Xenopus tropicalis: one gene and its partners. The protein of the gene in region 1 interacts with the protein of each later gene in a pairwise test. Links are inferred from orthologs where the notes say so. Each region holds a gene or a part of one and is shown in the gene's direction. Other genes may lie near its edges. The genes, in order: trim23, gpkow, klhl42, gpank1, tbc1d22b and phf1.

Region 1 (4,118 bases):
CATACTGTATTGCTTATATTCCAAGCCACTAAATTGATCAGAAAAATCTTCTTAAAGCACTTATGGGAAAAAATGTTTTGCTTTACATCTATCAATGTCTGATTATTAGAGAACTCCTATCTAGATTCTATGGGGAAAATCTCTTTCCTCTCGTCTCTACCACTTAATCCTGAATGTAACTGTATTTTGTATTATATTTCATTGTACTGACCTGCCTGTTCCATTAATGTTAGTTAATTTGGCATTGTGTGTGCCATTAATTTGTTTTGCTGCACAGCTCTGCTTGCACAAGGTTCACTTTACAATGCTGTTTGTTGCACCCCTTACACGTATATGCATAAATTGGCCCCCGTGTAATGTTTTAAAGCCCCAAAAGACCTAAATAATTACTACCTGATACCAGGGCTATTTATTACATCTACTGTAACTTTTGAATGACGCTGCTCTCAAAAAATAGTAGAACCCTTATATTTGTCAGCTGGATGAGCTCATCCTTGCTATTAACTTACTTTTAATTAGAACAAATGTTCCTTAATGATATATTCTTAATAAAAACCTGGTTTAGTTGAGATTACAGTTTATCTTTCCCATCACTGTTGGTACAGGTTGGTATGTCTATCATTTATCATGTCTATTAGTCAGCACAGAGTTTTTCTGTATTTCCAGCATTATTGTATTTTAGTTCCCCTGCTTGAGGATAATCATACAAAAATGTATTGTAACCGTTGTGGAGCCCACCAATGAGATCATGCCCAATTGGTTAATTCCATGCACTTTCTTTGTGTCCTATGGGCCCCCAACCTGCTCCAAACGCAAGCATAAGCAGGAGGGGGCCACTCAGCTATGGCAGACAATCTGAGTAACTGCTGCTTTGCAGAATAATCATTTGCACTAACTGCGCTGCCATGGGGTTACTGTAGCATCAATGGTTAAGAAGATCACTCAATGTGGCTACCATAATGGCAAGGGATGGAAGTAACTAGAAATGACAGGGCAAGGCAGGGCAGCCTCTTGCTTAGGTGCATAGTCTATGTACTCTGGAACAGAAGTGAGTGGGCCAGGACACCTATGGGAATGGCCAGTGCAGGAAAGCTCTGGCTCCTGTGCTACAGCTTGGGGCAGGCCGGGCTGACTCCCCAGTCAGGGCGCAGAGAACACACACCACAGCCTCACACTGATACCTTTCAGGGCCAACAAATGTTCCTGCTTGGGCTGATTGACGTCCATGGTGCCAGAACCGCCGTCACCACCCCTACACACACCCGGAACTGCCTGTACGGGAAGACGAAAGGGCCAGTTCTAGTAAAACAAAATGCGCATGCGCAGAGGCTTTTTCCGCTTCTCAGTTCTATTATTCACATTGCAACAGAGCCCTGCAAAACTTTTATTTCGACAAAAGCTGCAGAACCACAGAATCGCCGTCTCTGCTATCTATCATTTTGTTTTTGTTTCAGGGGAAAAATATGAGGGCACGTTTGCCAATGTTTAAGATGGCGCCTTATAGCGTTAGCTCCCATTTTTCTGAGGCAAGAGACTGAGTTGGGTTATAGCTATTGGGTGAAACCACTTTGCGGTTTCGCTAGTAATAGTTTTAAAAGCCTTTTGCTCAGTCGGTGGTGTCATACGGATTAGACTTCTCAGATTGCTACTGTTATGAACCTAAGTAGATATATTCATTGTTTTTTAAAACAGGGTTTATTCTTAAATAATGCCATTTTCAACACCAGGATTCACATGATTTCTCAACCCTCTACCCGAAGTGGTACGGTCCAGCTGTCAACATGGCTGTCGCTGTAAACAGACACGGCGGCCCTGGAAGAATGGAGGGCAGCGGACGGCAGAGCCGGACCGGTCCGGGGGGAGCAGTAAAGGTGATACTAGAGCAGGGTTACGGGAGAAGTGTATGCCGTGTAGTTTGGGCCCTGGTTTATCCCTGCAGGAGGGCCCCCCTGCGTCTGGCTATATGCATTCTCCTTCCTACATCATTTCGTTGCAGAGTGCAGGGAGGCTTTAGGGGAAAGGGCAGTTTCGGAGATGGGATACTCCTAGGGGGAAACAAAGCAGAAAGGGCCTATTATATTGTGCTAGAGAGGAAGCTGCGGGGCCCAGACACTGAGTGATAAGCAATTCCAGTATATACTTATGTACAATAACTCTTAAACTTTAGGGGGGGGGGGGGTAATATGAATTTGCTGCGGGGCCCAGACACTGAGTGATAAGCAATTCCAGTATATACTTATGTACAATAACTCTTAAACTTTAGGGGGGGGGGGGGTAATATGAATTTGCTGCGGGGCCCAGACACTGAGTGATAAGCAATTCCAGTATATACTTATGTACAATAACTCTTAAACTTTAGGGGGGGGGGGGGTAATATGAATTTGCTGCGGGGCCCAGACACTGAGTGATAAGCAATTCCAGTATATACTTATGTACAATAACTCTTAAACTTTAGGGGGGGGTAATATGAATTTGCTGTGGGGCCCAGACACTGAGTGATAAGCAATTCCAGTATATACTTATGTACAATAACTCTTAAACTTTAGGGGGGGGGGGGGGGGGTAATATGAATTTGCTGTGGGGCCCAGACACCTCTAGTTATGCCACTGACATTAGCTATGGGCAGCCTTAGAGCTCTTTGTTCTTGTTGTACTGCACCTCCATACATTGGCTAGTAGGGCTATTGAGAGTTCTAGCAGAACAACAACTGGAGGGCTGCAGGTTAAACATCCCTAATATATTATATATACATATATTAATCCCCTTCATCAGACTCCAGGCTTTCTGCATTGCAAGCTACCCACCCCCCTTTAACTCCAGCCCTGGCTGTATGGATAAGTGTAAATGTCCTATACAGGGTTGTCTTTCAACTTTCCTATGCGTTTTAACTCCCAATGAACTACAACTCCCAGCATGCAAAGTCAGCTAGATGTAGGAAGCATATGGATAATACCCAATGGCAGCTATTGATATTCCATACCCACATCTGCAAAGGCAATAAGCCTATTGTATGTATTTATAACTTTATTTTTATATTGCTGCAAGGATACATAGCACTGTATCATTTTAAGAGAAAATGCTGCTTTAATTTATCTTAAACCTTATTAGCACCACCCAGCCTTTCCACTTCCACAGGCAGCTTTCCTGGGCTGTTCAGGAGGAGCAGTGGTCCCCAGCCTGATCTTTAGCAAGCAAATGATACATCCAGCAACATGGTTGCATCCTCGTAACTTTCAGACTGATATATTTAAATGTCTCTCCACAATGTAACCTTTCCACAATTGTTTAATCAACACTAGGTTCTGGAATGTGGTGTCTGTGAAGATGTCTTTTCACTGCAAGGAGATAAAGTTCCACGTTTGCTGCTTTGCGGCCATACTGTGTGCCATGACTGTCTAACACGCCTGCCTCTTCATGGCAGAGCCATACGCTGTCCATTTGACAGACAAGCTACTGAACTAGGTATTAAAGAATTCATTTTTTACTTTACTAAGCAATAGTATTATGTAATGTATTTAAGGTCTCTATAACACAAGGATTTTGATAGCTGTTACCTGCTGCAGATTGCTTCCCATTTGCTTCAAGTTGCTCTGCACTAGCTGCTCTCTCTTGCAACAAATAGATACTGGGTGACCCACTGCTCTCAAACAGGCCCAGACTGGGATTTATAATAGGCAGCTGCCCCTCTGGCATTTGCCAGAATCCACAGATTGCCAGTCTGGGTGTGCTTTAGAAACTCTGGGAACAGCCCATCTTTTGAGAATCTCTCCTTTATTCTGTTCCAAAATGTTAAAAACCATTTGTTTTATTTAATGAATTATTCCTTTGGTATGGGATTAGGTTTTTTTCTTTAATTTGGATCATCATGCCTTAAGACTGTTAAATAAGCATTGACATATTTAAAAAATATATATATTGTTTTGATGCCAGTTTGGATACAATAAGCTACCTTCATTGCCATCAAGTACTAGGCATTGTCTTATAATTGCAGAGAAGCTGAACAGTAAGAAATTAAGATTATTATTTGTTTAAATAATGTGTAAATGTCTTGTTCTTATACAGGAGACTCTGGTGTGTGGGGCTTAAAGAAAAATTTTGCATTACTGGAACTCCTGGAG
Region 2 (3,504 bases), on another chromosome or scaffold:
TCCTCCATGTGTTCTCATCTAATTTATATCAAATTTTTGCCCTAAACAGCGCAAACCCTACTCCAGAAGCCAAGGAGCTAGTTATTCCCCTCATACACAAAAATAGGTGGTCCAAGCCGAACAAGAAAAAGGACAATGAGGAAGATGCAGTTCCAGGAACAGAAGAAGAGGCCGTGCTGTCACAGGCTGTAAAAGAGTTGATAGAGGGTAAATGGCTAGTTTTGTTTCTATTGCAACCCTGTAACTCATTTCTTCTCCATTTTATCTTACACTTTTCTGTTTCTTTTTAGAATCCCGGCGCACCCTAGAGGATAATTCAGAGACAGATCAAACTTTGAGCATCCCACTGCTTATGCAGAACAGAATTCCTGATGGTTACGAAGATGGAGAGAAGGTGGATGTTAGCTTACGCCCAGATTCTGTGAGTATTATTATCATTCGTGATAACACTGGCTATATTCACCATTTAAAGGGGTAGTTTAGCATATAGGTAAATTTTAGTGTGTTTTTCTGCCAATTTACAGCTTGCAATATAGCTTGCTACCTGGTTGTTAGGGGGTCACCACCCGGCAGCTCTGTGAGGCTACAGTTTTATTATTATTATTATTATTATTGTTGTTGTTGTTACTTTTTATTACTTATCTTTCTGCTCACACCTTCTGCTATTCCAGTCTTTTACTCTTCCAGTTTGTTATTATGTAACTTTTAAAAATTTCTTATTTGATAGTGCTCATATTAGTATGCAGGATAAGTCTTTTTATTGACTCCATCACCTAAGGATGCTATAGGGTCCTTTTAGACAGGATGGAACAAAGCCCCATTAATTCCTTCCATAATGTTACATATGTAAAATGTTCCAAGGCTTTTAATATATATTACACTTGAAATCTCACATGTAAACCAGATGTAATATAGTTCTCTTCTCCTGTCTTGTGTCTGCATTTGTATTTCAGGCGGAGGCTGCAGACTATGATGCAGTGCCTGTGGAGTATTATGGGATGGCGATGCTGAGAGGAATGGGATGGAAGGAAGGAGAGGGCATTGGACGCACATTTAAGCAGTAAGTACTATAGACCAGTGACAGAACAGTTTGTGAGACCAGTGTACTTCTTGTATTTACAGGTTTATATAGTTTGTGTTTAGTTATAGGATCATCAGCTCACTCACTGCTGTCTAGTATATCTCTGAGCCGAGACTTGCTAAGGAACCTTTCAGTTGTGACAGTATAGCTAACTGCCCTCTGATTAATAACGCCAGAATTCACGGAAGGCTCACTGGCAGAATAAGAATGTACATAGGGTGCTTAGAGTGAGATGAGGGAAGCTACGATGCAAGAACAGGCAAGGGAAGGAGTGGATGGAAAAGGAATGACGCACAGTTATCAAGGGGAAAATGCATGGTGGATAAACAGTACACTCATCTATAAGTCGGTTCCTTCCTGCACTTCCATCTAAGAAACATGTTTAAGGAAAAATACAATCGTGTTTTATGGTAAATGAAGAGGATCATGCTAGCTTTTCCTTGGATAAAAGCAGATAATTAGCATGTATGTACAGTCTGAAATTAGGATTATATTTTCCCTGTGGTGAGCTCTAATCTCACATTTAAAAAAAAAAATCTCCCTAAGACACCTCTGCCATTTGATTTGGTATGCATTTGTATTTATATTTTTTTGCTTTTTGCACCCAATAAATGTTCATATGTGTTTGGTATTCTAATTGTGATATATTCAAGGCATTAGAAGTAGTCCACCCATATAAGTGAATGCTTTCCCATATCTTTACATTTGAGAATGTGGACGTTACATAAATGCTTAATAATAAAGACATAAAATAGTATTGCCAATTGTGTGCCCCCAGGGATGTAAAGCCATTAGAGCAGAAATTGCGCCCTAAAGGGCTGGGACTCGGTGCAGATCGGTCTGCTCTAAAGGATCTGGAGCCACAGAAACCGCGGAAACCATTAAAACCTGGGGAGAAACTGGAAGAAGAGTCAAGAGGTCTTGGCAAAGGGAGTTCAGTACAGATACAGAGTGGAGCTCACAAAGACCTGTATGGGAAGGTAAGTCTGAATTTATTTTGTCATATATGCTGTCCTTACAATCCAGGGTAGTGATGTGCAGGTTGAAAAATTTTTAACCCAACCAAGAAACACTCCTCATGAACCTGTCTCAGCTTATCGCTGGTCCCATGGGGTTTGGCCCAACCTACACATCCTAATCCAGGGTATAACATGTAGCAGTGGTAAACCCAGCCACGTCATCAGTTTTCCTAGTTTAGTATGTTTCCTGTTTAGTTACTGATGTCTTTATCATTGTTCTCAGGTAGAGGGCGTTGACCCAGACAATTCCAGGGCAATGATCAAGCTTGCCATTGGTGGAAAGGTGGTTACAGTGTCTCTGTTTTCCTTGCGATTGGTCAGCAGCGCAGAATATACAAAGTTTGCAAAGGATCTGAGTGAGTGTAACTGCAACAAAGTATGCTGTACAATTTCCAAGTAATAATCTGTCATTGGGTGTGTGTACATTATTCAGATGTTATAGTTATATTATTTGAAAGTTAAATTGAGGGATGTTACTATGCACGTGCCTTTACCTTTATACCGCTATATGAATGCAGATTATTTCTAGGCATCCCATGCATTGATTATTTAGTGTTATAATCTTCAATCAAGATGTAAACATTGATATTGCATGTGGTCTTGTATGTTATGTTGGAGGCAGTCATTTTGTTTGCACCTCCTGAAGTACACTACCTCCTATGGCAATATGCATGCTAGTGTCACATAGTGGAAACTAAGTGAATTGAATCAGAGCAGTCATATTGGTTACTCTTAAGTGTTTTTGTTTTTTTAAACTGCTTTTATTGTATTGAAAACAAAGAGTATGTATTAGTAAATGCCACTATTATAGAGAGCAATCAAAATTAACTCTTCACATATTAATTACTGTGGGAAGTGACTAAGTACCACCAATAAGTGCCATTCCATTCCATTATAAATAAAGATATACATTCCCCCTTGTGACCTAAGACCTAAAATTTCATCACTTTATTGAGAATTTTACAAAAATGCAGTTTTTTTTTGCATTTTTCATGCCTTTGCTCGTCTTTGTATGGTTTCCTTGTATTTGTTAGTCTCACCCTCCTGCTAATAAGATCATTATTTTATGCTGCGATAAAGCATGCCCAACAATTCAAAGATTGTTTTCCTGCAAAAAGGAGCTGATTGTTTAGTTATTAAAATACATATTTACAGTACTGTATATAATTTTCACAAGAGTTGTGTAGTTTTAATTGGCAAAGAAAAAAAAAAGTGTGGCTTATCAGTGTTTGTGCAGACTCATGATCAGCCGGGCTGGCTATGGCTGATGGCTGTATCACCTAGCTTGCATACGTGGCTGCATTATAGTACCCACTGATTTCAAAGCTGCAGCCCCCCCAACTTTCACCTTATTACTGAATGTTTAGGGAGGATACAGGAGCTTTAGCTCAGTGACAGAGGGGC
Region 3 (4,117 bases), on another chromosome or scaffold:
TCCTGCAGCTCCCCACCCCAGCATCCTTCAGCTCCCCACCCCAGCATCCTCCAGCTCCCCCCAGCATCCTCCAGTTCCCCTCTGCATCCCACCCAGCATCCTCCAGCTCCACTCCCCAGCATCCTGCAGCTCCCCCCAGCATCCTCCAGCTCCCCCCCAGCATCCTCCAGCTCCACTCCCCAGCATCCTGCAGCTCCCCTCAGCATCCTCCAGCTCCCCCCAGCATCCTCCAGCTCCCCCCAGCATCCTCCAGCTCCACTCCCCAGCATCCTGCAGCTCCCCCCAGCATCCTCCAGCTCCCCCCCAGCATCCTTCAGCTCCCCCCAGCATCCTCCAGCTCCACTCCCCAGCATCCTGCAGCTCCCCCCCCAGCATCCTCCAGCTCCCCCCCAGCATCCTCCAGCTCCCCCCCAGCATCCTCCAGCTCCCCCCCAGCATTCTCCAGTTCCCCCCCAGCATCCTCCAGCTCCACTCCCCAGCATCCTGCAGCTCCCCCCAGCATCCTCCAGTTCCCCCCCCAGCATCCTGCAGCTCCCCCCAGCATCCTCCAGCTCCCCCCCAGCATCCTCCAGCTCCCCCCAGCATCCTCCAGTTCCCTCCCAGCATCCTCCAGCTCCCCCCAGCATCCTCCAGTTCCCCCCCAGCATCCTCCAGCTCCCCCCAGCATCCTCCAGTTCCCCCCCAGCATCCTCCAGCTTCCTTCCCAGCATTCTCCTCAACATCCTCCCAGGTAGGGAGGGCTGTTAATGTAAGTCATTTCTATTTGACGTTCCTAAACCTGAGTGTCCCCTCCCAGCCGGTCAGTTATAGCTCCTAATGCTAACCAATAATGGCTGCACAAATATGGCCGCCGCCGCCTCATAGAGGGACATGGAGACCAGATAGGTAATATAAATGCATTGGGCAAACACTTCTATGGGCAAATAAATAAATGTACAAACAGTGTCATGACAGTTGCAATAAAGGGTTTAATTTCTGGTGTCAGTATCTCTTTACGGCTTTTACAGCTAAAGTCTCTCAGTTGGGCGATAAAGGCTGAACTCCAACTACTATGTAATATCTGCTAGGGTTGCCTGTTCCCATGGGGATGGCGTCTGGCAGGGATATAGCCCTCCCATAGAGAATCCCAGCTGCACATATAAGGCCAGTGTTTATGGGGCATGGGGGGGAAAACACAATATGGGAAGGGGAGGGGCCTGTCTATGAAGCAGACGCTTCCATGAGGAGGTGCGTCTGGCAATGGGGGCGTGTCTTTGCGCGGCTTGTGGTTATAAGAGGGGCAGGAGGCGTGTCAAGTACGTGTTTGCGTATAAGTGGGCGTGGTCCCTGGCACGCAGGTGGAGGGGACTGGGTTTTTTACAAGCTTCTGCACATTCAGGAAGTGAAATGCCTGGATGGTCAGTTTGTATTGGGGCGTTCTCTCCATGTTGGGTAAACGGAAAGACTGGGCAAGGGGGGCAAGTGGGGGCAGCCAATGGGGCTAGAGCTGCTGGCACAATGAGCTGAATGGACAAGCTGCACAGATGGGATTCTCTCTCTTTCTGGACTTTCTTGTTACTCAGTTTGCTGAGCTGAAACGGGACCGGCTGATGGGTGGGGAATCCAGGTCCATTCTCTAGTTGGGCAACTGTTCCTGATTGGAGGGTGTTGCTTCTGGGCTGTTATTTTTGGAGTATTTTTCCAAGAGATTCCTTAATTGTCATGGGTGGGGGGTGTAAGGAACATTGGGCATTTCCTTTATTGGTTCTCTGCCTGATATTCTTATGCCCAGAGTGGGTGCTTGGTGCCCAAGGTTCTTGTAGGTATGGGTGTTTGATGCCCTGATTAGGTGCCCAAAGTTCTTGTAGGTATGGGTGTTTGATGCCCTGATTGGGTGCCCAAGGTTCTTGTAGGTATGGGTGTTTGATGCCCTGATTGGGTGCCCAAGGTTCTTGTAGGTATGGGTGTTTGATGCCCTGATTAGGTGCCCAAGGTTCTTGTAGGTATGGGTGTTTGATGCCCTGATTAGGTGCCCAAGGTTCTTGTAGATATGAGAGTTTGATGCCCTGATTAGGTGCCCAAGGTTCTTGTAGAAACAAGGGTTTGATGCCCTGATTAGGTGCCCAAGGTTCTTGTAGGTATGGGTGTTTGATGCCCTGATTAGGTGCCCAAGGATCTTGTAGGTATGGGTGTTTGATGCCCTGATTAGGTGCCCAAGGTTCTTGTAGAAACAAGGGTTTGATGCCCTGATTAGGTGCCCAAGGATCTTGTAGATATGGGTGCTTGATGCCCTGATTAGGTGCCCAAGGTTCTTGTAGATATGAGAGTTTGATGCCCTGATTAGGTGCCCAAGGATCTTGTAGATATGGGTGCTTGATGCCCTGATTAGGTGCCCAAGGTTCTTGTAGATATGAGGGTTTGATGCCCTGATTAGGTGCCCAAGGTTCTTGTAGGTATGGGTGTTTGATGCCCTGATTAGGTGCCCAAGGTTCTTGCAGATATGAGAGTTTGATGCCCTGATTAGGTGCCCAAGGTTCTTGTAGCTATGCGGTGCACAAATAGTGTGATGTTTTTATGTTGGTAGATCCCTTTTCTGGTTCCATTTCTGGGTTCTTGAAGGCATCATGCATGTATAAGTGATGTCCTCTGTAGAAACAGTTCAGATACTGTTGGGTTCTAGGTGTTACTCTGTACCTAGGGAACAGCTGGTGGCTCAGAGTGGTTTCTTCCAGTCACTGTTCCGGTCGGGCATGAGGGAAAGTCATGGGGAACCAGTGACTCTGCATGGGCTGACCCCTGAGGGCCTGGAAGGGGTTCTCCGCCACATCACTGGGGGTTCCCTTCTAGAAGCTCAGGGGGGTTCCGAGTTTGGTTTCCAGGTTGTTTCCTTGGAAGATCCAGAACGTTGCTCACTGGAGGATGAATCAACATGCGGCCTGGAGTCATCGGGCCCTTTACAGGCTGTGGTGGAAGCCGCATCCTACCTACAGGTCCAAGGTCTTCTGTCTCTCCTGCAGTCCTCCATGTCCCTGGACACGTGTCTGGATATCCTGGAGGTGGCGCAGTTGCATGGCCAGTGGGATTTGGCTTCGGCAGCTCTACATTTCATGGCTGCTCATTACCTTTCTATGTTGAGGAGGGAAGACTTCCAGCAGAGCCCAAGGTCCCTCAGAACTCGTGTCCTGGAAGAGAGGCTGAGAGGAACCCCAGCCCTTATGGTCCTGTCCCAACAGGGCCCTGACAACTGGGTGCTACTAAGGTACCTGGAAGGGGGAGGCGGTTGGCAAGTCATGACCGGAGAGGTCCCACAGAGTATGCTGAGGGTGCAAGGCTATGGGGCTACCACACTCCATAACTACCTGTTTGTGGCTGGAGGTAGGAGGGACAATGGGCAAGAGATCAGTGCCGTGCACTCGTACAACCCGAGCAACGGGTGCTGGACCCAGGAGCCCTCCATGAACCAAAAGAGGTAATCAGGTGGGGAATATTGTTTTCCTTAGTCACTTTGCTTTTCTGTTCTGGTTCTGTCCTATGAAGCTATGGCCACTGAGGAGCCCAGGATGCCAGTCTTTTATTCAGACAATTGCCTGGTTGCTTGGTCAGTGACCCTAGCAACCCCTAACTAGTTTAAAGTCTTATTTTACAGGTTATCTTCAAATCTGTCATTCACACCGCTTCCTGATTGCTAGGGGGAAATATACTGCTTGTGTTTGAGTAGCATTAGCTGTGGTGACTAGTGGACCAGGGCATTTTGACTGCTGGTGTTTTTCACCTGTGAAGCTACCGCAGGCCTTCGATTTCTGTGCACAAAATAAAATATTTTGTGGTTTACTTCCCCTTTACATACCAGGTGCAAGGTTCCACTCCAAGTTCTAAACTTGGATGAACTCATATAATAAAATAAATTTATATCCTGAGTCCTGTATTGAGAATCTAAGCACACCTTCTATTTTATCATCTATAGGAACCATATTAATTCCCCTTGTTATTGAACTACAACTCCCATCATCCTGTCAAACTGACATGCAAGGGAAATAGCAAGGTGCTGAATTGTGCTTAGTACAGGGGAATCCCTATGTGCCATAGTTTTATGGTATCTCTCTGTACAGGCTATGAGCAAACTTAGGGGGCTGTTCAT
Region 4 (4,214 bases), on another chromosome or scaffold:
CTGCTTCTAAAGACTTCAGGTGCAACTTCCATGCTGTTTAATAGTGGGGTAAGAAAAAGATTCCAGTGCAAATAACTGACATCAGGTGACTGGGCCATTACTGCACGAATTGGCGTAAAAAATTCCAGATGAGCTGACATTTCTTTTGTTCGTGTATATAGCCCCAAGCCCCTATAGTTTTCATGCAACATCTTTCATACAGTACCAGCACTTTTCCTTTCCCTACAACTTTGCATTCACCATCTTGGATTGCCACCACCAGTGTGACGCCTGTGTAGGTTTAATGCATGAACAGTGCAATTCCTCTGGGAACCATTTACACAATGTACATACTGTATAAACCTACTCCCTGCATAGCAAGGTGACACAGCTTGTATTTACTAACTTCATCCTAGAAAAAAACAACATATAATGTGAATAAGTTGCAGTTTAAATGTCTGCAAATACCTGTCTCTCCTACTTTTATGAATTGGATTCAGCCTTTTACGTGGACAAATATTTACAGGTACAGCGAAGGCTTTCTTGGAACCCATTTCCCTAAAACAACACATATATTGTGGCATAAAGATCCTGGCCATGGTAGGTGCCACAGTAGCTCAATGCCAGTAGTGTAATTACAGGCAACCAAGGACATTTGGAGCTTACATTGCTTTAAATGCTTTAAAGTGCACTTTAACATTTTTCACAATTCTCTTTTCATAAATTTAGTGAAAACATAATCGGTGCTGACATTTTCTCTGGTCCTGCATGCACAACCTTTCCTCCAGCTAGCTGTACAGTTGTCTGGGGCAGAGTAATATATCTGCCATTTAAAGAACAAAAATAAATAGTGCTTAGTGCTTTTTCCCTGCTCTAACATGTATTGGGAGGGCTCTGACGATGTCGGACTGCTTACTGCGCAGTTTCAGCCCTTCTAGCTGGGTGCATGGGCACCTAAACACAAAAGACAAGACATTTAAACGTGCATGTGAAATCTGTCTGCATTCGGCTGCTGTAGACCACCAATAACGTGTTATTACTTTGCTCCCTGGCACAAGAGATAGAACTATTTCCGATCAAACATTGATAACGAAGGCTCTGCTTGCAGAAGACACTGCAGGTAATTACAACAATATTAAAAAATGTTTTTATTTTTGTGTTTCTTGACAAAAGCAGGCGGGGCGTGCAGCTAAAACAAACTGTGAGCAGATATATGGCTGCCCTGGCATACATAACCGCGCGTTACTAGCTGCTGAGGCAGCGTACCAGCAACGTGCTCTACTGTAACACAGAACCACTGAACGTTGTTTAGCACAAGTGACGCTTACGCACTGACGCTCCCATACGCTCCAGTTGTGGCGTCACAGTCTCATCTCGCGAGAGTGTGAGGTATCTCTGGGAGAGCAGGTTTGCCGGAACCGAGGAGCTGGATATTTGAATGGCGTTGTGGGACATTTAGCAGCCATTTAGAAGTGCGTCCTGTGTTAAGAAAAGTGGGCTACGTCGGTATGTGAGTGTATGTTTCCCTTCAGCATTCTTATACCCAGGAAGATTTCTGTATTTTTACAACAGGCCATGGGCAATAAGAATTACTTTCTCTCTAGCTGAAGAGTATTTTAGATGAATATATCAATTGCACTGAATAAAACCATATTAGTTTTGTTAAGAAAACTGCAGTTTAATTTCATTTCTAACGTAACCTTCAGAGGGAGGACACAGTCCTATCTAGTAGGTAAAGCTGGCCGTACATTGAAAGATCCACTCGTTTAGTAAGGTTGCTAAATGAGTGGATCTTTGATATTGTCCACCTTGAGGTTGATCACAGCAAGCCAATGTGGTCAGCAGCAACGAGCCAATGCAGTCATTAACCAGATGAGATTTTTAAACTTGTCCAATCAATATCTGACCAAAAATCAGGTCAGCCTGTTGGCGGGCCCCATAGACTGGTACATAAGTTGCGGCTCAGACTGAAGAAGCTGAATCAGCTAAAATCTGCTCCATATGGCCACCTTTATTAAAATGGTGTGCTACGACATGAGGGCTTGTCCGCAGTATGACGTCTAACAAGCTGCTCTTACACAGGCTTATAATGATGTATGTATATCTTTATTTATAAAGCGCTACTTATGTACGCAGCGCTGTTCAGTAGAATACATTAATACAAACAGGGTGTTAATAAGATAATAATAGATAAATACAAAGTAAAACAATAAATACAGATAAATACAGCTGCAATAAGTTAAGAGTCGAGGACACAAGAGGAAGGAGGTCCCTGCCCCGTAGAGCTTACAATCTATATGGTAGGGTAACTTACAGACACAAATAGGCAAATATAAGTGCTGTAGGTCACTTATAATATATGAGGCACCATACATAGTATAACCAACTTTCTGTTGTTCCACACATTCAGCCCTAAAGCTAATATCACGCTAGGCTGTTTCTCTGCCTGTGCAGAAACACCCAGTCGGAGTGGTTATGATCGGAAATAACTTTCATGCTGTACATCCAATAACTCTTGTTCTCAAGGATAATTAAGAAAGATCCAAATGAGGACAGAAATGTTGGGCATAGGGTTGTAAAGAAATACATTCACACAGGTTTATTTACACATAAGAGAGTGCTGGTCCAGTTATTTCTTTTGTCAGTCAGAAACAAGGTTTAGTACGATATTCAGTGCATGTAAGTTGGGTTTGATGAGGTAAACGATTTTGGCAAAAGCCTTGGATATTGGTCTTCTTGTCAGTGGGCAAGGATAGGAAATTCTGATTGGATGCCTTTGAAGGTAGGTTAATTCTGAATTGTCAGATAGGGATAGATAGTGAATAAAGTACCCCCTATTGTAAAATATAGGGGTATTATATGTCACCAAAGAGTTCCATGACAATATAAAAGCACAAGGTCAAAGCCGAGTGCTTTTATACAGGTCATGGAACGCTGAGGTGACTTCTAATATCCTCATATTTTACAAGAGGGGGTACTGTATTATAATATACAAGTTTTAGTGAGTCATGTGCCAGAAATTACATCACTTAGCTCTGATTATAACTGATGACATCACTAAGCACCATTTATATGGATATAATTTACAGTTTGGTCCCATAGGGAACTGACCAAACTGTATATTATAATTCTATTGTTTCTACCTGCATATCTGACAATTCAGCTCTTAATGTTAGTGGAGTGGACTAACGATCTTTCCAGCAACCACTGGTAGCAGGAAAGATTGTTATTGTAACGTGTATGGCCACCTTAAGTCACAGTTTATTTAAAGGAGAAGGAAAGGCTAAAAAAAGCTGCAGGCATACCTTCAGTTCTCTCAATAGTGCCCTTAAGTCTTCCCATATTTCTCCTGTTCAGATGATCAGAAGCTTCATAGGGAAAAAAAAAAATTCTGAGCTCTGTAAACAAAATTCCCATAATGCCTCGCTCCTGCACCAAGACCAGCGTACATGCTCAGTGTGTAAGACTATGAGGAAGCTTCCTGCTGATTGTCTCAGATCACACATTCTTGTGGGTGGGGGGAGCAGGAGAGAGCTGCGTGTCTCTAGCACAGGAAAACAAAGAGACAACAAATCCTGTTTCTTTTGACAGAGAACTCAGTGCAGATGTTTCTGTGAGTGCTTATGGCTGTATTTACATAGACCTTTCTGATAAAGCTTACTTAGTTTTTACCTTTCCTTCTCCTTTAAAGACACATCTTAAATTTTCTCTTTTAATAGCAATACCTTATGCAAGTCAGCAAAGTTACTTTTTATTGTGAAAATCGAACTAAGAATGGGTAGTTTTAATCTGATTCTTACTTGTGTGTGCCTTGTCCCTCAAACCCAAATGCCCTATATGCAGCCCTTAAGTTTTCATTGTGTTGCATGTTTGAGCATTCAAGGTTGCAGGTTGATAAACTCCGATATTAATGAATTCTGTTGTGCTGCAAATGTTATGCAGCGTTTTAACATAAGGTATGCTAGAAGCATATAGTAAAGTATTACAAAATGATCATGGGCTGTCTTTTAAGTGATCTAATTTAATTATATTAATTTAATTAGGCCTTCAGAAATCACATAAAAATTGTTACATTTAATATATTTTAACATATTTATATATTCTTCTTTGGCAGAAAAAAATGAATCATCTTCAGCTTATTACTTTTACAAAAGCCCGGGACAAATCGGATTTTTGGGAGAATGGAGAGTGCAGTAATAAAAAAGATCTCAATGCATCCAATAAAAATATAACAG
Region 5 (2,934 bases), on another chromosome or scaffold:
AGAAAACAGCACCAGCCTGGGGTACCTGTCGAGAGTGCTTCCCCTTCCTACTCGCACTGCAGCCAATTGTCCCGGACAAACGCATGCGCAGTAGAGTGAAAAGCCGACTTCTCTGTTCAAAGTTCGGCATATCACTCTGACATTTCCAACATTTTTTTATTTTGTGTGTTAATTTGATTGCTTTGCAAACAGTTTATCCAATATTATTATTTATTTTCAGGGTCTGCTTATGTTGCTGCAGAATTTGCCAACTATCCACTGGGGAAATGAAGAAATTGGACTCCTCCTTGCAGAAGCATACAGATTAAAATACATGTTTGCTGATGCTCCCAACCATTACCGTCGGTAGATGCCAAATCACTGTGCCCTTATACTCCAAAAAAAAAAAGCACTCTTTTTCTTTAAATTTTGATAGATCCACGTGCCAGTCACTCCTAGATGCTAATCAGCACATACGTACTTAGCAATCCAGTCACCATCATACTGCATAAACACACTATAAACCACATCTGTAAAAAATTCAGGGTTAATAGTATGTAACACTGCATAAACTCATCATTGTTCGGCAAATTCGCATATCTGCTGTGCAGTGCGCAGATGGTACTGTTCTACATGCAGATTTTGCCATGTATTTAAAAAGACATCACTTTGCATTATCCTTGGCACGGTATAAGTCCTAGAGTAAGTATGTGTATATAAATCGGTCTTTATATGTATATGGACAAAGGTGTACAATATTGGGATTTATTGTGTGTAAAATGTGGTTCAGTTTATCCTCTTAAGCATGTGCTTACCTGTTCAACAACAGGTTGCAGTCTAGTTCATATTTTTAAATAATCAAAGGCTTTGTTCATCTTTAATAAAAGAATTTCAGCTTATCATTTGTTGAAATGTTTCTTTTTCTACCCTTTCCATCCAGGCTACTTGCCTGCTTATACCACGTGAAATATCAAAAATGTTCCTGTTATAAGGTTATCTGTAAAAAGAAAAAGTGACAGAAAAGTACTCCAAATATAAACACTTCATTGCTTTATTAATAATTTAAATGTGGCATTTAATTGATTAATGAACACACTACTATACCAAAAGGAGGCTTCCAACCTATATATATATATATATATATATATATATATATAATTAATTTGAGGGTTCGGGTTTACTCCGTTCAATTAGCCACACAACTCAGAAAACCTTTAAAAAAAATCTTCAAAAGAGTCAGGTCACTCACTGCTCCTTATCGGTGGTCTGGGTGCAGTGCCCCAGACCCGCAGCACACCAGGGCAGCGGTGAAGGCTATACAGCTTTATTCATAAATACATCCTAGGATGTATTTATGAATAAAGCTGTTTAACCTTCACCGCTGCCCTGGTGTCTGATTAAGTGCGTGCCACATGGTGGTTTGATTCGGCATTTTATTGATTAGCCTATATTTCCATTTACTATACAATTTAAGGCATTTTAAGGTTATGCCTTAGAGCCCTTACACTATGGGTTTTTTTCTGCCTGGTTGTACCCACAGGCCTTCATATATATGTTTTTTTAGTACAGGTGTCTTCATCTGTGTTTTTAAAACAACATTCTGCAATTTTATGCATTTGTAGCGAGTTTAAAATACATTAAAATAGAAGCATGCATGATGAACTCCAAGAAAAAACACTTGCATTAAATATTTCTAAATTACCTTGTTAAGTTACTGCTATTGCTGGTGTTTATTCCAGCATGCAAAGATATCGTGAAAGCAGCAATGTACAGTATAATCATCCCGAACAATGAAAAAAAACAACAAAGCAAAACTTGAGGAGTGCTAACTTTTATCTATATCAAACATTTCATACAGTATTGACTTGGGGGGTAGTGGATAGCAAAAGGTTAACAGAAAAGAAAGGTAACCATGTTGAAGACGGTACTAAAATAGGGTTTAACATTCATCTAGATGTTTTAAATTTTGTTAATTTGTAGGTCTTTTGATATATTTGAAGATTGTCTAATTTAGCTTTCACCATTTGTATAACTTGGGTACCTGATTTCCAAGCTTTTGCTATGAATTGTTTAGCAACAGAAAAGATGTGTGCTATACTTTTTATGTTAGGCTTTTCCTCAGTGATAAGCCTGCAACATTTGTTATACGAGCTGCTAAATTTAGGGAAGTCCCACGAAATATGCATAAAGCACCCATTTTTACTACACTTCCTAAAACATAGTGGGGAGAAAGTGTATAATATTTTCTCTTGCATCGCTTAGTATGCATTTCATTTGACATACCTTCAAATGCCAGTGTGTAATGGCTCTTACTGGGAAAATTAGACTTAAGTATCTTTATTGCATGAAATAAATTAAAGGTGGAAAAGCCGTGATTATTTAAATACAATTTCTTTTTGTAATGAACCTGCTATTGATTTTGACATTAAAGAATGAATCCATGATATATTTTTTTAAATGAGTCCTGTAAAAGATTTTGTATTTTGTTCTGTTGTAAATCCATTATATGGCAAATTATTTTGTTTTTTTCTTAATCCAACACTTTAATTTTCAAAATCTTGTGTGTGTTTTTTTTTTTTTTTTTTATGATAGAGAATCTGTGTGAATACCTTTTAGTAACTTCAAAAGTAAGTTAAAGGATTGCATGGTTCAAGGCACTGGCATTACTATAGAGAAACCCCTTGGCTGCAAAAGGGGACAGGGGGCCCTGGACTGTGAGGTCTGCCGTATAGAAATTCCCCTTCTCTAGGTGCCCCTATCTCAAAAGTTGTGCACCCCCAAGAGAGGAAAGGGAACAGGTAGGAGTTGCTGTGCGCACTGGGCCCTTCCGAAGATTTTTTGTGTGTGCGTGGTGCCATCTAGTTCAGCCAGTGGTTCAGGTCACTATGATAAACACTTAAATGGTTTTTTAATACAGAAAAAGGAAGAGTTCACACAAACAGAAAACGAGGGATA
Region 6 (3,504 bases), on another chromosome or scaffold:
CACACTACCACCACCATATTTTACTGTTGGTATGATGTTCTTTTTCTGAAATGCTGTGTTACTTTTACGCCAGATGTAACGGGACACGCACCTTCCAAAAAGTTCAACTTTTGTCTCGTCAGTCCACAAGGTATTTTCCCAAAAATCTTGGCAATCATTGAGATGTTTTTTAGCAAAATTGAGACGAGCCTTAATGTTCTTTTTGCTTAAAAGTGGTTTGCGCCGTTTTTGCCCAGTCTCTTTCTTATGGTGGAGTCGTGAACACTGCCCTTAATTGAGGCAAGTGAGGCCTGCAGTTCTTTAGATGTTGTCCTGGGGTCTTTTGTGGCCTCTCGGATGAGTTGTCTCTGCGCTCTTGGGGTAATTTTGGTCGGCCGGCCACTCCTGGGAAGGTTCACCACTGTTCCATGTTTTTGCCATTTGTGGATAATGGCTCTCACTGTGGTTCGCTGGAGTCCCAAAGCTTTAGAAATGGCTTTATAACCTTTACCAGACTGATAGATCTCAATTACTTTTGTTCTCATTTGTTCCTGAATTTCTTTGGATCTTGGCATGATGTGTAGCTTTTGAGGTGCTTTTGGTCTACTTCTCTGTGTCAGGTAGCTCCTATTTAAGTGATTTCTTGATTGAAACAGATGTGGCAGTAATCAGGCCTGGGGGTGACTACACAAATTGATATTGAAATTGAAAATTGAAATTGATAAACCACAGTTAAGTTATTTTTTAACAAGGGGGGCAATCACTTTTTCACACAGGGCCATGTAGATTTGGAGTTTTTTTTCTCCCTTAATAACGTAAACCTTCATTTAAAAACTGCATTTTGTGTTCAATTATGTTATCTTTGACTAATAGTTAACGGTTTTTGATGAGCAGAAACATTTAAGTGTGACAAAAATGCAAAAGAATAAGAAATCAGGAAGGGGGCAAATAGTTTTTCACACCACTGTATATTACTCATGCTCTATTCATTCATGCTTGTCATTTACTCTTACAGAATTTTTTTAAAATGTGATGGAGGGACGGGAGCCCTCAACCCGACCCAGTCGTACCACACCTGCCAGTCCCAGAGTGACCCCTGCTCTAGTGAAACGGCCACGCTTCCAGACACTGGCTCGTTTTTGGGAAGGTCAGGATGTCTTGGCACGGTGGACAGATGGACTGCTTTATTTGGGGATAATTAAAAAGGTGCACTTCTTTCATTATTAATGTTTTCAAACATAGGTTATTATGCAACTCCATTATAAAATAATCATAAATGGGCAATCCACTCCAAAAGAAAAGTACCAATGTTTTCTAAAGGAAGAAAATATGATTATAAGCAACCTCAAATTTTGCAATGATTTAAAAAAAACAAAAAGTATGTACAGGTATTTGATCCCTTATCAGGAAACCCATTATCCAGAAAGCTCCGAATTACTGAAAACCCATCTTCCACAGACTCCATTTTAATCAAATTATTCAGAATTTTAAAACTGATTTCCTTTTTCTCAGTAATAATAAAACAGTACCTTGTAATTGATCCCAACTAAGATATAATTAATCCTTATTGGATGCAAAACAATCTTATTGGGTTTAATTAATGGTTTATTGATTTTTTTAGTAGACTTAAGGTAAGGAGATCCAAATTACGGAAAGACCCCTTATCCGGAATACCCTTGGTCCCGAGAATTCTGGATAACAGGTTCTATACCTGTATATATATTTATTAGTAAATGTGATTACTGAAACAGTATCTTTCTTTCCCTTCGTTTTGTCACCAGTTATCATGTTTAGATGCATTAGACCAAAATGCGTTAGAACACTAGTTGTGATGTCACAGCAGTAATGTAGATTATAACATTCTGCTGCTAATATTCCATGCCCCATCGAAGAAAATATTGTTATTGCTTTTATACAAGACAAATGGGTTAAAGCAACTTATTCTTCAAGTACTCAAAGGATATAAGCACAGGAGTCAGTTTTACTTTAAAATACAATAGTTACTGTGTTAATGACAAGGGTCATGCATTGCAGCATTAAAGTTACACTATAGAACAGCATTTGCAAGAACTCTGTGGCATTCAGATGCACAACTTAAAGCAATAAGAGATTTGAGCATGACTGTATGAAGTGCAGACTAATTGGAATTGACTATACAGACAGTTCGTATTTTAAACCTCTTTATTTCACTAATAATAACATTCATAGAGGACAAATCCATTTTTGGGAACATTAGGACAACATTTGTGAAAATCAACCATTGAAATGCATTATAAATTGGTGGGACCACAAAAAGCAATGGAAAATACAGGAAAACTTAAAACCAGTACATAACAAAGTTATAGAAAACCCCAGGTACCAAGCAGTCTGCATAACAGGTCCCATAGTTGTACAATATCTTATCTCCCCTCGTATCCTTACGTAAACAATAAAACATTGTAATTATGAATCCCAGGGGTATTCTGTAAAGCTTAATCTTCAATATGTTTTGGATTACTAACACATGTAGCATGTAAACACCCAAAAATTAAACTCAGGGGCATAACTTGGTCACACTGGTCCACCATTCAGAAAAATCTTTTGAGAGGGCCTAGCACTACCAGTCCCTCCTCCCCCACCCACCCCTGACCCTGCCGCTTTATTTAAGGTAGGAGAGGGGCCAGGGAGGGGGGACTAAGGTACAGCAGATCTCACGTTCTGGGCCCCCCCCACGAGCTGGGTCTGCTGTATATATTGTAACACCATGGATTAAACAATTGCATACAGATTTATCTACTGCAGAACCAATGTACTGTCAGTATTTTATGTGTCAGAGACCCTAAAATAAGTTAAAACCATATATTTTTGAAAATTAGCAAAAGTAAGGGATGGGTACCCTATGTAGGGATTGGGTTTCTAATTTGTTAGGAATCCCCACTTTCAGGTGAAAATTAGATTTGGGCAAAGTAGACATGACTAGAAAGGGAGGAGGTATCCAATGGCCCCTTTTTGTTCCAGTGGGCCACTCCACCCTGAGGGGAGGCACTTTGAGGAAGGATTCTAAATGAAATTTCTTTTATTCTTTAAACTACCTTGCTCCACTCTTTAGATAGGCTAAGAGAGGAGGACTAGGCTAGGCTATGAAAGAGTGAGCAGATGGTCTTGATGGCTCCTGCCTATTTATAGTCAGCTAGAATGAGTAATTATACTATGAGTTTACATAATCTGTTTAGCCAGACCTTTCTTATGGCATGTGCTCTTATATCCAGACATATCACATCATTCCTTTTAGCAATGGCCTTTTACTAAACTGAAAACTTGTAAAGTAGAGCAACTGCAGAGCAACTTTAGCAGCAAAGGGGGCAGGCCTTCTCAACTTTTCATCCCTCTTCTGCAGGTAGACAGTGCTCAGGAGACTTGTCTTGTGCGCTTTGAAGATAATTCACAGTTTTCAGTACTTTGGAAGGACATTTTTCCTCGTAAGTATGAAACTACATAGAATTCAGAGTAAGTTTTTAAATGTAATTTAACCTGTTACCCTTATTT

Evidence for each region.
Region 2: the proteins of trim23 (region 1) and gpkow interact in binary tests that used the Homo sapiens proteins (3 or more experiments, as listed by UniProt). The two-hybrid records come from large-scale screens. The link is inferred for Xenopus tropicalis from reciprocal best matches to the Homo sapiens genes TRIM23 and GPKOW.
Region 3: the proteins of trim23 (region 1) and klhl42 interact in binary tests that used the Homo sapiens proteins (3 or more experiments, as listed by UniProt). The two-hybrid records come from large-scale screens. The link is inferred for Xenopus tropicalis from reciprocal best matches to the Homo sapiens genes TRIM23 and KLHL42.
Region 4: the proteins of trim23 (region 1) and gpank1 interact in binary tests that used the Homo sapiens proteins (3 or more experiments, as listed by UniProt). The link is inferred for Xenopus tropicalis from reciprocal best matches to the Homo sapiens genes TRIM23 and GPANK1.
Region 5: the proteins of trim23 (region 1) and tbc1d22b interact in binary tests that used the Homo sapiens proteins (3 or more experiments, as listed by UniProt). The link is inferred for Xenopus tropicalis from reciprocal best matches to the Homo sapiens genes TRIM23 and TBC1D22B.
Region 6: the proteins of trim23 (region 1) and phf1 interact in binary tests that used the Homo sapiens proteins (3 or more experiments, as listed by UniProt). The two-hybrid records come from large-scale screens. The link is inferred for Xenopus tropicalis from reciprocal best matches to the Homo sapiens genes TRIM23 and PHF1.

The regions. Positions count from the first base shown.
Region 1 is NC_030677.2:187,787,004-187,791,121, forward strand, and holds the start of trim23 (E3 ubiquitin-protein ligase TRIM23), read left to right. Parts: upstream 1-1,315; 5' UTR 1,316-1,781; coding exon 1,782-1,871; intron 1,872-3,299; coding exon 3,300-3,462; intron 3,463-4,062; coding exon 4,063-4,118. Other genes in the region: trappc13 (trafficking protein particle complex subunit 13), read right to left, coding at 1,182-1,227.
Region 2 is NC_030684.2:23,998,479-24,001,982, forward strand, and holds part of gpkow (G-patch domain and KOW motifs-containing protein), read left to right. Parts: intron 1-49; coding exon 50-207; intron 208-290; coding exon 291-421; intron 422-953; coding exon 954-1,060; intron 1,061-1,859; coding exon 1,860-2,061; intron 2,062-2,323; coding exon 2,324-2,456; coding exon of another isoform or gene 2,457-2,500; exon of another isoform or gene 2,501-3,024; intron 3,025-3,504. UniProt on the Homo sapiens protein: RNA-binding protein involved in pre-mRNA splicing. As a component of the minor spliceosome, involved in the splicing of U12-type introns in pre-mRNAs.
Region 3 is NC_030679.2:10,512,295-10,516,411, forward strand, and holds the start of klhl42 (kelch-like protein 42), read left to right. Parts: upstream 1-1,316; 5' UTR 1,317-1,802; exon of another isoform or gene 1,803-1,828; intron 1,829-1,847; 5' UTR 1,848-2,098; exon of another isoform or gene 2,099-2,278; 5' UTR 2,279-2,618; coding exon 2,619-3,448; intron 3,449-4,117. UniProt on the Homo sapiens protein: Substrate-specific adapter of a BCR (BTB-CUL3-RBX1) E3 ubiquitin-protein ligase complex required for mitotic progression and cytokinesis. The BCR(KLHL42) E3 ubiquitin ligase complex mediates the ubiquitination and subsequent degradation of KATNA1.
Region 4 is NC_030684.2:74,607,844-74,612,057, reverse strand, and holds the start of gpank1 (G patch domain and ankyrin repeat-containing protein 1), read left to right. Parts: upstream 1-1,411; 5' UTR 1,412-1,485; exon of another isoform or gene 1,486-1,495; intron 1,496-4,093; 5' UTR 4,094-4,099; coding exon 4,100-4,214.
Region 5 is NC_030678.2:65,104,594-65,107,527, reverse strand, and holds the end of tbc1d22b (TBC1 domain family member 22B), read left to right. Parts: intron 1-220; coding exon 221-349; 3' UTR 350-2,431; downstream 2,432-2,934. UniProt on the Homo sapiens protein: May act as a GTPase-activating protein for Rab family protein(s).
Region 6 is NC_030684.2:71,991,531-71,995,034, reverse strand, and holds part of phf1 (PHD finger protein 1), read left to right. Parts: intron 1-994; 5' UTR 995-1,011; coding exon 1,012-1,185; intron 1,186-3,355; coding exon 3,356-3,437; intron 3,438-3,504. UniProt on the Homo sapiens protein: Polycomb group (PcG) that specifically binds histone H3 trimethylated at 'Lys-36' (H3K36me3) and recruits the PRC2 complex. Involved in DNA damage response and is recruited at double-strand breaks (DSBs).